Mus musculus: one gene and its partners. The protein of the gene in region 3 purifies or fractionates together with the protein of the main gene of each other region. This does not show direct contact. Links are inferred from orthologs where the notes say so. Each region holds a gene or a part of one and is shown on either strand. Other genes may lie near its edges.

Region 1 (3,566 bases), on a different chromosome or scaffold from region 3:
GAGGGAAGATTATAAACTGGAAAAGTTTAGGTTAGGGGCAGGGGGAGAAGAGTCAGAATGGACTTTTAACAGGTATTTGCAATATGTATTGTATTTTTCTGGTTTGGTTGGTTTTTGTTTTTTGAGACAAGATCTCACTATTTGACCTCTCCTGCTTTAGCCTCCCAAGTGCTAGGATTAAAGTCACGTGGTCTGCCAAGCTCAGCAGCTTTTATTTTATTGTTGTTTTTGAGAAGGTGTCTTTTTGTAGCCCTGGTTTTTCTGGAACTCACTATGCAAACCAGGCTGGCCTTGAATTCATTGAGACACTCCTGCCTCTGCCTTCGCAGTGCTATGGTTAAAGGTGTGAGACCACACCCAGCCCCTGTAAATGTAACTTTTATTCACCAGATAATTGTCCTTTAAACTAGGCCTGGAAACCTTCAGCCTCTGAGATTTACTGCTGAGTAAGCTGTTTTTTGCTGGCTCAATTCAGCTATTCTGACTCAGAACTCCCCTCCAAGCTGACTGATTCAAATGGGCTTCTTTTTGCATCTCACTTAATTTCCTTGCTTTACCTCAAACTAACTAGCAATCTGTTCTAATCTTTTGACTCTTTTTTTTTTTTTTTTTTGGTTTTTCGAGACAGGGTTTCTCTGTATAGCCCTGGCTGTCCTGGAGCTCACTTTGTAGACCAGGCTGGCCTCGAACTCAGAAATCTGCCTGCCTCTGCCTCCCGAGTGCTGGGATTAAAGGTGTGCGCCACCACGCCCGGCCTTTTGACTCCTTATTCTCTAGCTTGTTCTTTTTTTTTTAATATTTATTTATTATATGTAAGTACACTGTAGCTGTCTTCAGACACCCCAGAAGAGGGCATCAGATCTCATTACAGATGGTTGTGAGCCACCATGTGGTTGCTGGGATTTGAACTCAGGACCTAACCACTGAGCCATCTCTCCAGCCCACTTGTTCTGTCTTTAACTGTGTCTAGCTTATTATAACTCTCTTCAACCTGTCTCTGTAGGGGAGGGGAAACCTCTCCCTGTAAACTGCCTCTGAATTCCATTAACTGAACAGAACTGACTAGAACTCAAGAGATATGCTTGCCTCAGTCTCCTAGGATTAAAGGCATGTCTGTATCCCAGCCTGTCTTCCAATGGGGATGGCATAGTGAGTTCTCGGATCACATAGACCTAGAAGATCTTTGGATATGATCTCTTGCCAGAGTGGCCATGTTCTGAATTATAATTCTTCTCTAAGCTCCTTATTTTAATTTACATGGAATCAGATGATACATCTCCTATCTTGGCCTTGAGTTTTTGGTTCTTGTGCTTCTGTCTCTCGAGTAGCAGAGATTACAAGGAGAAGCCTCCATGCTTTTCTTTTACCTTCATATTTAGGCCTGAAGGAGTGGCTCATTTTGTTTTAGTTTTTCAAGATAGGGTATTTATTTATTTATTTTTATGTAGCCCTGGCTGTTGTGGAACACCAGGCTGGCTTTGAACTCAGAGATACACCTGCCTCTGCCTCTTGTGTGCTGGAATTAAAAGCATGTGCCAGCACCAGCATAAAATTAGTAGCCACCCATAAGAAAAGCAAACACTGCTCATGCACATAAAAAATAATAAAAAGAGAGCATGGGCTAATAGGATAGAACTTTGTGCAAAAAACAAAACAAAAAAAAAATTCATGTAAGAAAGTCAGTGAAGCTAGATTTGTTGGTGACACAGATCTGCTGCCACAGTACTTGGAAGCAGAAAAATTGCAGATTTGAAACCTGTCTAATCTAAAAGTCAATTTAAGACCAGCATGAGCTAAATAAAAGAGATTCTGTCTGGAACAACAAACATTCTGTGGAGCCAGACATGGTAGTGTATATCTGTAATCTCATCACTCAGGAAACAGAGGCACAAGGATAATCCCACTTTTAGAGCCAGCCTGTTCTACACAAGGAGTTCTATGGTAATTTGGGCTATACAATGAGGCCTTGTTGCAAAAGTAAGTAAATAAACTCACAAACTTGAGATGAACTCCATGGTAGAACATTTACCTAGCAATCAGAGTCAATGAGAAGTCAGAAACAAGAGCTGCATAATAGGACCTACTCAAATGTACTATATTACCCCTTTACAAGATTTCTGATCCCACAGTCTTTTTTTTTTTTTTTTTTTTTTTTGTCTACAGAGCAAGTTCCAAGACAGCCAAGGTTACACAAAGAAACCCTGTCTCCAAAATAAATAAGCCAAAAAAATTTTATTTGTGTATTTATATGCAGCTAATAGGCCAGAGAAGACTTTAGAGTCTTTGAATCTGGTGGTGTGGGTCACTTGGTTGTAGTTGCTTGAAATGAAATTCCAGTCCTCAGGAAGAGCAAAAGTACTCTTAACTACTGAGCAGTCTCTCTAGCTCCCAATAAAAATAAAAGTTGAAAAAACAAAAGCTAGGTGTGATGGCACCTGCCTTTAATTCCAGCCCTTGGGAGGCAGAAGCAGGCAGATACCTGAGTTTGAGGCCAGCCTGATCTACAGAGTGAGTTTCAGGACAGCCAGAAACTCATTTCAACTATACATTGAAACTCTGTCCCCAAATATAAACAAAACAACAAAAACAACAGGGGCTGGAACAATAGCTCAGCAGCTAAAAGCATTGATTGTTCTTCCAGAGGACTGGTTTAGATTCCTAGTACCCTATGTGGTGGTTCACAGCCATATGTAACTTCAGTTCCAGGAGACCTACCATCCTTCTCTAAACTCAGTAGGCACCGGTGTGCTGTGTTGCACATACATATGTGCAGGCAAAATACTCATAAAATAAATAAATCTAAAAAACATTTTGATACACAAACAGAGAGACAGATACAGGGCTTCTCTGTGTGACAGGCCTAGGCTGTCCTGAAACTTGATCTGTAGACCAGTCTTCCCTTGAACTCACGAAGATCCACTTGTGTCTTTCTTCGGAATGGCATATAAAAGTAAGTCCTAGTGACAGGTATAATGGCACACATACCTTTAATCCTACCTAGTTTTATGCAAGCAGAGGCAGATGGATCTCTGAGGTCAGCCTTGTCTACTTAGTAAGTTCCAGGACAGCCAGAGCTACATAGAGTCTTTCTCAAAAACAAAGGAATGGGTTAAGTAATTGCTTCTGACAATTACTATTCTAATTTCTTGGTTCCCTACTTTCTAGCTCCAGAGTGATAAATCATAATATTCTCATTTTTAGAGCCTCAGGAGATCCTGGCAAAAAGAAACAGCACATTTGTCACATCCAAGGATGCGGCAAAGTATATGGCAAGACCTCACATCTCCGAGCACACTTGCGCTGGCATACAGGGGAGAGGCCATTCATGTGTAATTGGTCATATTGTGGGAAGCGCTTTACACGTTCGGACGAGCTTCAGAGACATAAACGTACACATACAGGTGAGTAAGACCCAAGGGAAAAGGGAAAGTAGTAGACAGAAAAGAAATGAGGGCTGGAGAAATGGCTCAGTGGTTAAGAGCATTGACTGCTCTTCCAGAGGTCCTGATTTCAATTCCCAGCAACCACATAGAGGCTCATAACCATCTATAATGGGATCCAATGCC
Region 2 (4,062 bases), on a different chromosome or scaffold from region 3:
TTGGCCTGGGTCCTGTAATTCTTGGCAGGTCCTTGTGGGAGGCCCAGTCAGGGTGAAGGTCAGGCAGCAGGTCTGGGCATACATCTGCCCCCCAAGTTTGCACAAGACGAAGAGTCTACAACTCTAAGACACTCACTAGTGAGGTCCACAAGGGTTCTGGGGTCAAGTTACTAACCACCAGAACCATGATGGGGCCCTGGATGACCTCTCAGGCCCCGCTCAGCCCCGCTCAGAAAGGCAGTGAACTCTTGCACCTGGGCTAGAAACAGCAAGTAGTGCTTGAGTGTGTACTGGAGGGTTAGCAAGCTAGGAACTGTAGCCACCGCCTCTTCGTATATGAAAGCTGCAACCCCAGAAACCTCTGCCTCCAGGACCACTGCAAAGAGTGACAAGGAGGTTCTGGGGATAGCTTTTTTTGAGCTCCTAGAGCCCCCACCCAACTTGGGCAAAGATGCTACCTACTCACTCGAGGCAGTGGCAGAAACCACGCAGCGAAGTTTGACTGCGGCGCCCAGATCAGCAGAAAGCCGAGTTCTGCTTCTCCAAGTCCGGGGTTGGGGGTGTTAGCGGCCAACAGCTGATGCAGCAGCGGCTAGAAATGCCTCAACGACAGACCATGGGGTCAAAGGGTCTTGGTGCAGGCGCTCTCCAAGGAAACCAGCCGGCTCCGCCCTTGAAGAAGCTCCTCCCCATGACCGCGAGAAGGGCAAGAGTCCAGCCGTGCACCCGCAGCTACTTCTATAGCAACCGCAGAAGGTCCTTCGGTGTCAGCGTGTCACGTGCTTGTTTCTCAGCCATTAATGGCCGCAGGCAGCTCCTCCCGATTCCCGAGGAAGCCCCTCGAGAGCGGTCTGATCTGCGGGCCTCTCTTCTACCCTCAATTCCGCCTTCCTACCGGCGGTCCAGACGTTCCCAGGCTGTCGCGTGAGCCCGTGTGTGCCCTGGTGGTGCGCTAGGACCCGGGCCTAGTGACCGGCCCTCGGAAGGCCACTTCTCAATGACCGCTGCCACGTTCGCCCAGCTTGGGGCCGGAGGGCGGGGCTTGAGCGCCGATGGGCGGAGCCTTGGTCTGAGCAGGGTAGGTCTCGGTTACTGTAGGGCGGGGCCTGTAGAGCGCGGCGGAAGCTTCTCAGAGCTAAGGGAACTGGCTCAATCCACGAGGCTCCGCCTTTGCTCACGTGTCCCCATGCCAGCTCCGCCCCACACCGGAAGTTCCGGTGGCGGATCGCCGACCGGGCGGAGCTGATCGCTGCGCGGGCTGCGAGATCTAGGTGGCCGGGCGCGGAGCCCAAGCCGTGCCGCGCGGCGCCATGAAGGGCAAGGAGGAAAAGGAGGGCGGCGCGCGGCTGGGCACTGGTGGCGGCGGCAGCCCTGATAAGAGCCCGAGTGCGCAAGAGCTCAAGGAGCAGGGAAACCGGCTCTTCGTGGGCCGCAAGTACCCGGAGGCGGCGGCCTGCTACGGCCGCGCCATCGTGAGTGCGGGAGGGGCGGGGGCGGGGCCCGATGTGCCTCCCAGTTTTGTGATCCCGGACAGGGTTTCTGGCAGCCTGGACTCGATGGCTCGCTCGCTCCCCTGGTGCCCGGATTGCTGTTCCCGAGTCTAGGGCTGATTTGACTGGGAACTGGCGGGCGGGATGCTTGATTAAGTAAGACTAAGGATGACACCAGGAGCTCTTGCCCCTTGAGATTTCCAAGCCCAGAGCTTGTAGAGGGGTTGTGGGATTTCTCTCAAAAGCAGTTGGAGGCAAGAAAGCATGGCCAGAATCCAGAGCTCTTGATAATTCGGAAATCTCCAGTTCCTCTATTCCAGCCATGGGCCCCCAAAGCTGGAGCATTGACCAGATCATTGGCTTTCAGCTTGCTAAATGAGAGGGGATCAACTGAGCCCACACTCTTTGACGCCTGGTCTTGGTCCCCAGACTCGGAACCCACTTGTGGCAGTGTACTACACTAACCGGGCCCTGTGCTATCTGAAGATGCAGCAGCCTGAACAGGCACTTGCTGACTGCCGGCGAGCCCTGGAGCTGGACGGGCAGTCTGTGAAGGCGCACTTCTTCCTGGGGCAGTGCCAGCTGGAGATGGAGAGTTATGATGAGGCCATTGCCAATCTGCAGCGAGGTGGGCTGACAAGATGCAAGGTTGAGGGCACCTTGGGGGACCAGGATTGTTGACAAGTGTAACCAAAAGTGTCCACTCCCCTAGCCTATAGTTTGGCCAAGGAGCAGCGACTCAACTTTGGGGATGATATTCCTAGTGCCCTTCGCATTGCTAAGAAGAAGCGCTGGAACAGTATCGAGGAACGGCGCATCCACCAGGAGAGTGAGCTGCATTCATATCTCACCAGGCTCATTGCTGCTGAGCGAGAGAGGTGGGTCCCTCCCCCAGCAGACACTGAGTCACCAGCACAAGTGTTTTTATTGAAGGACAACAACCGGTACATGGGAAGCCCAGGAGGAAAGAGGCCTGAGATGGGGCGGGCTCTGTGATTTCCTGGTCAGGGCCATCACCAACTAGCTTCTGGTTAACCCTCAGGGAACTGGAGGAGTGTCAGCGGAACCACGAGGGTCATGAAGATGATGGCCACATCCGGGCCCAGCAGGCCTGCATTGAGGCCAAGCACGTGAGGGTGCCCCTAGTCCACATGTGGGTCATTGTGTGTGTGTTTGTGTGTGGCATGAAAAGTGCCCCAGCCTTTGGTGGATCTGTTGGCCCATGCATGACATGAGTGCCCTGGTGGACAGAGTGTGTGTGTCTGTGTGGAGACAGGAGTTGCCCACACATGGCACTCAACTCTGCAGGATAAATACATGGCAGATATGGATGAGCTCTTCTCTCAGGTGGACGAGAAAAGAAAGGTGAGGACCCCCGGAAGCTCATCGGCTGCTGCTGGTATGGTGACCCCCACAGCCCCCTCCAGTTCTAGACATTTTCCCCTTGTGCTATAGAAGCGAGATATCCCTGACTACTTGTGTGGCAAGATTAGCTTTGAGCTGATGCGGGAACCCTGCATTACACCCAGTGGTATCACCTATGACCGCAAGGACATTGAGGAGCACCTGCAGGTAAGGAGGGCCCATGGAGACCGGGCCATGGAGAGCCTTGGTACCCGGATCGGTATACTCAGGCCATTGAACACTCTTGACTCTGTTGCAGCGTGTGGGCCACTTTGACCCTGTGACCCGGAGCCCTCTGACCCAGGAACAGCTCATCCCCAACTTGGCCATGAAGGAAGTCATTGACGCTTTCATCTCTGAGAACGGCTGGGTAGAGGACTATTGAGGCCCCATGTCCTGCCTGGCACCCTGGCCCAGGAGGATCTGGAGACGGAAGCTCCAGTCCCTGTATAGTTTGTGTCCCTGGGCCTGCCCCCATCGGCCCTGCTGATGGGTTCTGAACTGCTCCCCTTCTCAGCATACCCCTTGCTGGACCATGAGCCTCCCTTGTCCCCCTTCTGGGCTGGAGAGTGGGTGAGGGTGGGCTGAGGTTGCTGCTGCTGCCACTGTCCTGTAATAAAGTCTGTGAGCACTACATTGGCATGTGCTGGTGCAGTGGGCTTGCCAGTTGCCTGTCTGGCTAGCCAAGGAAGGTAGAAATGAAGACACTGGTGTCCAGATTGAGTGTGGCATGCCACCACCGATCAGGAAAATACAGTACCTGGGAGAAAAGAAAAAAAAAATTTTGATTCATGGCTTTTTGAGTTAGCCCAACCCCCACCTACCAGCTACTGACTTCACCAGCCTGGATGGTACATTCTAGAGGCCGTGCTGACAGGGCTAGAGATGGGTATATTTCCAGCAGCCAGGCCAATGTGGTCTTGTTAGGGTGGAACTCAGGTGTCTTCTCAGGAGGGTAGAGGAACCAGCGCTGGAGGCAGGAGTGTAAGGTCACTATGTGTGCAATGGACTATAGACACCAGATTTACACACACACATAACACACACATAACACTGTACTGACCTTCCGACCATAGATAACCTCTGAGAAACCAGGCCCATGCCAGTGGAAGGGTACCCCAGATCCAGCTCCTGTGGGGTCAGTTATGAATAGCTGATGAACAAAATA
Region 3 (3,566 bases):
CTTTTCACAGGGAAGAGCTCAGTTGTTGCCTTTTGCCCTTCCATTACACAAGGCTTGATCTGTGGCTGGACTACAGGAACAGCACTAGATTAGGGCTTGGTAGGGACAGACCTCACTAACCCGTAACTTTGCTTTTCCTTTTGTAGTCCTGGGAATAAAGAGCCTATTCAAGTGACCCCATGCCTTTGATGCACAATTTCTACAGTGCTAATATATTAATATGCTTAATATTACAGCATTAGTCCATGGGTCAAGTGATATACATATATAGTCTATCAAGCCTTTCTTGTTTAAGAGATTGTATAGCACGATGAAAAACACACTAGAGAAATCAGAAGATGTAGGTCCTAGTACTGGCTCATCATTCACTGTCTTGCTGCGATACCTTGGATAAGTCCTTTCAAAAACAAAACAAAACAAAACAAAACAAACAAAAAAACCCCCAAAAAACCTCTGCAAGATCCACTGAGATGCCTCAAAGACTCATTTTGGGGAAGGGGAAGTGGGATAGAGTAATGCTGCTTTTATTAGCTTTTCTCAGATTTTCAAATGTTATATTACTTGAAGAATGAGTTCTGCCAAAACAACTCCCCACAACTTTATCTTTAAATTCTTAGAGTGAGTTTGTAACAGGAAATAGAATAGGCAAAATTGCAGAAAACTCTAGGATGGTTTTTTTAAATTTAATTTTTACCTTGCATCCTTCACAAGCATGAACTCCATAGTGGAAGCCTGATGCTTTATCCCCACAGACTCGGCACTCAATGGCCATGAGGGAGTTAGAAGGTTCTTCATGAGGCCTGTTGTAGAGCTGGGTCTTTTCAGAATAATAAGGTGGAGATGCAGGTTCTACTTTGATCGCACCTGTGCATGGGAAAATTTGAGAAGATGGTTATCTCATGACAAACAATCTTAAAGAGGAACTGTGGCTTTCCATGGTGGCCTTCATATTTTCATGCCATAACTTTACTGTCTCAGAAGAGGCGCTGGGGAACATGAAGAAACGTTGGTGCTCAGATAGGAAAAGTAAGACTTTGTCATCTCAGGCAAGTCACAACACCCCAGAACCTCACCTGCACAAATAAAGCGGGAAGGGAATTAAAAGCCAGAGAATTAAGTGTGCTTCCCCCCCCCCCCCCCAAACTTCCCGCTGCTTTCCACAGACATTGCACAGGGTTTGGATAAGTGACGCTTACTTGGCTAGGCAATGGGCTGCATCTGGCATCCATTCTGCTATTATGGGTTTTATTGAAAAGGTGAATTTTAGAAATAGTTTTAAACTTTTCTTGCAAAAGAAATACAGAAGGAACATGGGCAAGAAAATGCCATGGTGAGCCTAGCCCGAGGTGCCAGGTTATCAACAGGGTTGAGTCTGAGGTGGTTTGTAAAGTGATCTTTGATAGAGAGTGGGAGCAACCTGTGTGAGGCAAGTACTGCGTTTGCCCGTGGCTCAGACCTATTGAATTTCCGTATTAGGCTCTAACCCTGAGCCACACAGATAAATACCCACGTATACTTTCTATCTAAAGAAAACAACTAGAAATTACAGGAAGTTCTTACTTATTATCAAGTAATGCTTGCCAGTGACACAGGGGTGACTCTGGAAAACCAGCACATCAGCCCACAAGATAAAAATCAAGGAAACAGCACCACAGAAATGATACTTTATCTCAAAAAGTTTGGTTCTGGTTTTCTTGAGGCTGATGTTTTATGTTAATTTACTTAATGTCATGATGATCTGTCAGTCAGCCACAATGTTCAAATGTAAGTTTATGCCCCAAACTAGGGTTTGAGGTAAATTTTACAAATTACAGCTTAGAAAGAAAGCCTAACTGTAATAGTAACTTAGCTATGATGAGTCATGTAAGTTGACCTACAGCTATGACTTACTGAAAAGAAGCTGGGAGAATTCAAAGTTTACATGATGGACTGTCAGCCTAAGACAAAACTGGCAATGTAGTCATCCTAGAAAATGTTCCAAAGATGGAAACAAGAAAGGAAAGAAAGGAGAAGATAGACGTGTGTGTGTGTGTGTGTGTGTGTGTGTGTGTGTGTGTGTGTGTGTGTAAGTTTGGGAACATTGGAGGGAGAAGAAGAAAGGGGGTTAGGTTGGGAACATTGTTGTGCTGTCTTATCTTGGCCTCCCACAGACATCTAGAACTTCAAGCGTAGTGGATAAACTGAGTAAAGATGCCTTCTTGTCAGAGTGCTAATCTCAGGAGCATTTATTCAATGGTTATTAAAAAACTGTCTAACTCCAATCCTAGTAGTTTGAAAAGTAAACATACTTTGGTATTCTTGGAGCTTCAGGTCATATTTGTAATCAGCAACCATTGGGTCAGCTCTTGTGAATGGAATGTCTTCATAGTGTGGAGCAGAAATGCTGGAGAAATCAACTGTGGTAAAGGGCTTGATGTCAAAGGAATGCGAGTGGTCTTCCATCACGGAGAGGTCCACAGAGCTGATTCCGAAGTTGGTGGGCCAGAATGGCATCTCTGTGTCAACCATGGTAATTTCTGAAGTGGAAAAAAAAGAACAGGATATGAGTCAAGTTCTGGAGGGCAGAGCAGTCCTCATAGACATAGAGAGGAGCTGAATGAGTTTAATAAAGCATTTCACTCAGACTTCCCTATGGGGGTGAGTGCACTACTGCCTTTCTAGTACCACCCAGGTAAGAAGGAAGTCAGCCTTTACCTGAGTTTCTGTATTGAGAGAACTTAAGATCTGCTTCATTAGCAAATTTCAACTATATGATACAGTATTTCTAACTATAATCATCTTGCTGTCTATCAGGACTCCAAAGTGTTATGGAAACCCTGGCCAGTCTTCCCTACGCCTAGGCCTTGGCAACTAGCAAGAGTATGTGGCATCTGGTTTCCTGAGTCTAGTTTGTTTTCCTTAGTACAATGTTCCTTTGGGTCATCTATATTGCTACAAGAAACAGAAGTTTTTCCTTTTTAAAGGCCATAGAGTATTTCACTGTATGTATGTGTGTGTGTGTGCATACATGTTCATGTGTGTGCATTCTGCATATGTGTGTATATATACTATGGGTTTTTTTTTTTACTTGTTTGAGTATGCATGCCTGTGTATACATGTGCATTCTGCATGTGTGTGTCTGTTCATACCACAGAGCTTTTTGTTTACTTTTACTTGTTTATATGTCTTAGATTCTCATGTTGATTTCATATCTTGGCTATAGTGAATAGTGTCATAATAAACATGGGAGCATAGAAGCTTTGACATAGTAATTTTTAGTTCCCTGGCCATATTTCTAGTGGTAGGGCTGCTAATCACATGGAAATTCCACTTTTGATTTTTTGAGAATCTCCACTTGCTTTCTATAATGGCTGCACAGTGTATAGTATACTTCACTAGAGATGTTTCTGTTGCTCCATATCCTCTCTTCTCTTCATGGACTAGCTATTCTAACAGACGTGGAATAGTATATTTTTGCTGTAGTTTTGATTTGCTTTTCTCTGGGGATTAGTGATATTGAACATTTTTTTTCATGTACCTTTTCACCATTTCTATGTTTTCTTTTTAGAAATAGCTACGAATAGCCT
Region 4 (3,566 bases), on a different chromosome or scaffold from region 3:
ACCTACATGGCTATGTGCCCAGGAGAAGGCTGCTCTGGCATATAGGATTTCTAGAATTGTCCTCTGGCCCGCCCTTCTCCTCAGGCTATAGTACCAATGCTCTTGACTAAAAAGTCAAGGCTTCTGGTCTCCAATCCTCTCAATGTCTAGGGACTCAAGTCTGGAGAGCAGTCACCTGAAGCCGACGTACCTGCACAAACAATGGAATGGTATTGAGTCCTCGGATTACAATCCGGTTGTGAACGTCCCGAGCAAGGATGTGGAGAGCTCCAGTACACCCTTCTACTATCTCCTCCATGCGCACGCCCTCCTAGGAGGAGAAAAGCAGTTAAGCTGGCACTCTCTGAGCAGCAGTTGTAGCCACTTATGTGCACTGTCTCCAAAGATCCTCACAGCTTGCCCAGTGCTCTGTAATGGAGGGTCCCTTCCGCTGAGTATAACGGAAGGCTCCTAGCAACAGGCCTTCTCCCTGCAGTGTGAGCAGCTTCCCTGTGCTGTGACTTCCAGCCTCCACCTGTGCCAAGCGCAGCGTGCCATTACTCACCCAGACTCACTCTCGCCATGCACCCTACGGGATCAGCAAGTCCCAAGGGTGACCACAGGCACAATGTAACGTCAAGAATTTTGGCACGAGAGACTTGAGCTTCTGCAGATATAAACCCCACAGGCACTGAGGACAGCGGCTGTCCAGCTTCCTTACCCTTCCAATCCCAAAGTTGGCTTTGTCACTACATGGAAGAGCATCAACCTTTCTGGTAAAGGTAGGTGAGTGTGGGCCATTCCTTCCCACTTGTCCTCTATTTCTTACACGTTATCTGGTGAAAAGATTCCCAGCTTTATCCTACAGTTAAACCCCACTGAGCTGCCAGGGGATTGCCCAGAGACCCATCAGCAGCCTGTGTATTTGCTTTCTAATCTATGTTTTAACTCTATTACTTTTATAGTCAACTTGATTTCTTTTTTTTTTTTCCCAACCTGATTTCTATAAGGACACAGAATTTCGTTCATAGACTATAAGGCACAGCACCTTAACTATGAGGCCATCCTATGGAAAGGGGCCAGAAACAATAATAGTAAGCAAACACACAAAACCACCAGCAGTATGGGGTTCTAAAACCTATTGTAACAGGCTTCCTCTTGATTTTTGATGTGGAGAAGAACCTGATAGAGTGGATACAAATATGGCTGTGGTAGATTTTCTACTTTGGCACATGCATGCAAGATCTAACCCACAACAGTACATTACACTCCATGTCCCTTTTTAAGGTTGACCAGGGAAACATTACCAGAGCTTGTCACACAGTGTCTCTAGAAACCAGACAGTCTAGTCTTTTTCAGTCATTAGCAGCCCTTCACCAAAAGATGGGAAGGTAGAGACAGCACATGGAGATTGCATTTACCCCACCCCATTTACAACAGCCATGTTTCATAAAGATCTACCTACCACAAACTGCTGCTGCGTTCCACCCATGGAGGTGCGCCGTTGGGTGTCCTGATGTGCTCGTACAAGCAGCTGAACTAGTCGTGGAATAGCACCCTGTTCCCGCAAAGGCGCATGATTTGCTGGGCAAAGGGCAAGGTTTCGAATCAATCCAACAGTTGCCTACAGAGGAAAGAATCAGTAGACAACACAACAAAGCACAAGCAGTGTTGAGTGAAATGGACGCTTCGGGTCCCACCACCTATTCCCAGCCATCCATCCCAGCAGACCATCTCTATGCCCAACAGAGCTCCCTGCTAACAGTTCACCTTTATCAGAGGCCAGTGGGATGGTGGGTGCAGGAGTTTAACCACAACAGGCAGTCCATAATGAAGGCGAACGGCATTCTGGGCCATCTCGGCTTCCTGATGCCGGCTGGTCAGATGACGAAGAGCACAGATGGCAGGCTCAGTGATGTCTTCCCTGTCACCAGCACGAAGGACGGTGCGTACAAGAGCCTCTATGCCACCCACTTGGCACACCATCATCTTGTTTTTGTAATTATTGCAAGTGAGGTTAGAGAGAATTCCAGCTGCACAGGTGACCACATTTATATCATCGGAACCCAGAAGCTGCACTAGAGTCCCAAGGAGGCCTTCCATCCCTTCCTGTTGAGAGAAAAACATGATGAGCTCAGAGCTCATGCAGACCCTAGTGCCAAGGCAGCAACTTGTGTACAATATACCTGCTTAGTCGCTGCATCTGAAAGGTTTCTGAGAGTCCAAAGACAGTTTTGAACAAGTCGCTGACTTGGGTCTGTCAGATGAAGCCCCAGTGCCTGCATCCCACCTGCAAAGTCAGACATCAAAGGCAGGCCTGTTAGCCCTCATGGTGTCCCAACTCTGAGAACTTTATTTCCTTCAGTTTTTTAGAATGTCACACAGCTTTTCTAATCTACCTTGCCAGTGATAACTCATGTCAAATGGCTGCTATACCCTTCTATTGTTTATGGACAGTTTCACCATCTGTAACATTCCTACCAACTCCTTTCATTCAGCTACTTCCAGAATGACCCTCAGCACCAGGGACAGTGTTGACCACCACATGGTGTGCGCAAAGGGCAACACTGCAGTCCTCAAGTCAAGAGGTCATGTGAGTGGGAAGGCAACGCCTGCAAGTCTTGCAGTACAGATGTAAACAGACAAGTAGACACCCTGGGACTCAGGAGTCAGGTAAGCTGCACTGCGGTGCTCAGTCAGTCAGGACTACTTAAGTCTGAGTTCCAGGATAGCCTGGGCAACAATGACAAGCCATATAACAAGTCACTTAAAATATACCTCTTTCAACTGAAATCACTTCTGAGTTAGACACACATTCTTACCTCCTTGTTTGTCCCTCATACTTAGTGTCCTCAAACTTGACACAAATTTGTCACAACTATAATTTAGTCCACCTTCCTGACTTGATGGCAATGGTCTCTCAAATAATTCCTTCCTCACAGCTTGCTTCCAGCTGCCGGCAGTGACCTCCATTGAGGCTGATGCTCCGCCTTTGGTAAATGGCTGGCTACTCTCTTTATGCAACTTGCCCCAAATGCTCATCAGAATAGCTAAGGAGACAGCAGGTCTGAATGCTAACAGCCCATTAGGCTCTTCTAAGACACTCCTCTTCTTTACTGTCATAAACTCGGGCAGCTTCCCAGCCTTAACCTGCCTTTCCCCATGTCCTTCTAGCTGAATGTCACCTTAAGGACTAGGACTGTTCCTCTATTTACTTGCTAGGTTTTCTAAGCTCGCTGTTTCCTTCAGTGGTCCCCACTGTGCAGCTATTCTCCTGCTCAGCAAAGCTGCACAGCACACGGCTGCCTCTAATACTACCTCCTCAGTTATCAACCTTGAGGACATTAAGCAGTGTTCTCCATATGTGTTACCAAAACAGCACAGTCACCTGTGCACCAGGGCCCTGCCTAGCTCATTAACTGCTCAAGTTGTATTTGTACCACCATCCTCCTTGCTTTAAGACATGGCCCACACAATGCTCTACACTCAGAGAGCATGTAAGCTCCCAGGTCTCATGCAAAATCAAGGTTGCTGCTTCCCCCGAAGTGCTATGCAGCACTCCTTTTCTGGGACGGCCTCCTCAGTAG

Evidence for each region.
Region 1: the proteins of Pparg (region 3) and Sp1 purify together in Homo sapiens (affinity purification with western blotting; 3 studies listed by BioGRID). This does not show direct contact. The link is inferred for Mus musculus from reciprocal best matches to the Homo sapiens genes PPARG and SP1.
Region 2: the proteins of Pparg (region 3) and Stub1 purify together in Homo sapiens (affinity purification with western blotting; 3 studies listed by BioGRID). This does not show direct contact. The link is inferred for Mus musculus from reciprocal best matches to the Homo sapiens genes PPARG and STUB1.
Region 4: the proteins of Pparg (region 3) and Ctnnb1 purify together in Homo sapiens (affinity purification with western blotting; 4 studies listed by BioGRID). This does not show direct contact. The link is inferred for Mus musculus from reciprocal best matches to the Homo sapiens genes PPARG and CTNNB1.

Annotation. Positions count from the first base shown.
Region 1 is NC_000081.6:102,426,756-102,430,321, forward strand, and holds part of Sp1 (transcription factor Sp1), read left to right. Parts: intron 1-3,201; coding exon 3,202-3,401; intron 3,402-3,566. UniProt on the Homo sapiens protein: Transcription factor that can activate or repress transcription in response to physiological and pathological stimuli.
Region 2 is NC_000083.6:25,830,102-25,834,163, reverse strand, and holds Stub1 (STIP1 homology and U box-containing protein 1), read left to right. Parts: upstream 1-1,244; 5' UTR 1,245-1,310; coding exon 1,311-1,472; intron 1,473-1,919; coding exon 1,920-2,118; intron 2,119-2,202; coding exon 2,203-2,368; exon of another isoform or gene 2,369-2,532; coding exon 2,533-2,620; exon of another isoform or gene 2,621-2,798; coding exon 2,799-2,855; exon of another isoform or gene 2,856-2,945; coding exon 2,946-3,062; exon of another isoform or gene 3,063-3,153; coding exon 3,154-3,279; 3' UTR 3,280-3,530; downstream 3,531-4,062. Other genes in the region: Jmjd8 (jmjC domain-containing protein 8 precursor), read right to left, coding at 3,574-3,654, 3,730-3,864, 3,958-4,025. UniProt on the Homo sapiens protein: E3 ubiquitin-protein ligase which targets misfolded chaperone substrates towards proteasomal degradation.
Region 3 is NC_000072.6:115,438,790-115,442,355, reverse strand, and holds part of Pparg (peroxisome proliferator-activated receptor gamma), read right to left. Parts: intron 2,517-3,566; coding exon of another isoform or gene 2,509-2,516; coding exon 2,289-2,508; intron 865-2,288; coding exon 695-864; intron 1-694. UniProt on the Homo sapiens protein: Nuclear receptor that binds peroxisome proliferators such as hypolipidemic drugs and fatty acids.
Region 4 is NC_000075.6:120,953,851-120,957,416, reverse strand, and holds part of Ctnnb1 (catenin beta-1), read right to left. Parts: intron 2,332-3,566; exon of another isoform or gene 2,270-2,331; coding exon 2,166-2,269; intron 2,089-2,165; coding exon 1,750-2,088; intron 1,604-1,749; coding exon 1,445-1,603; intron 311-1,444; coding exon 191-310; intron 1-190. UniProt on the Homo sapiens protein: Key downstream component of the canonical Wnt signaling pathway.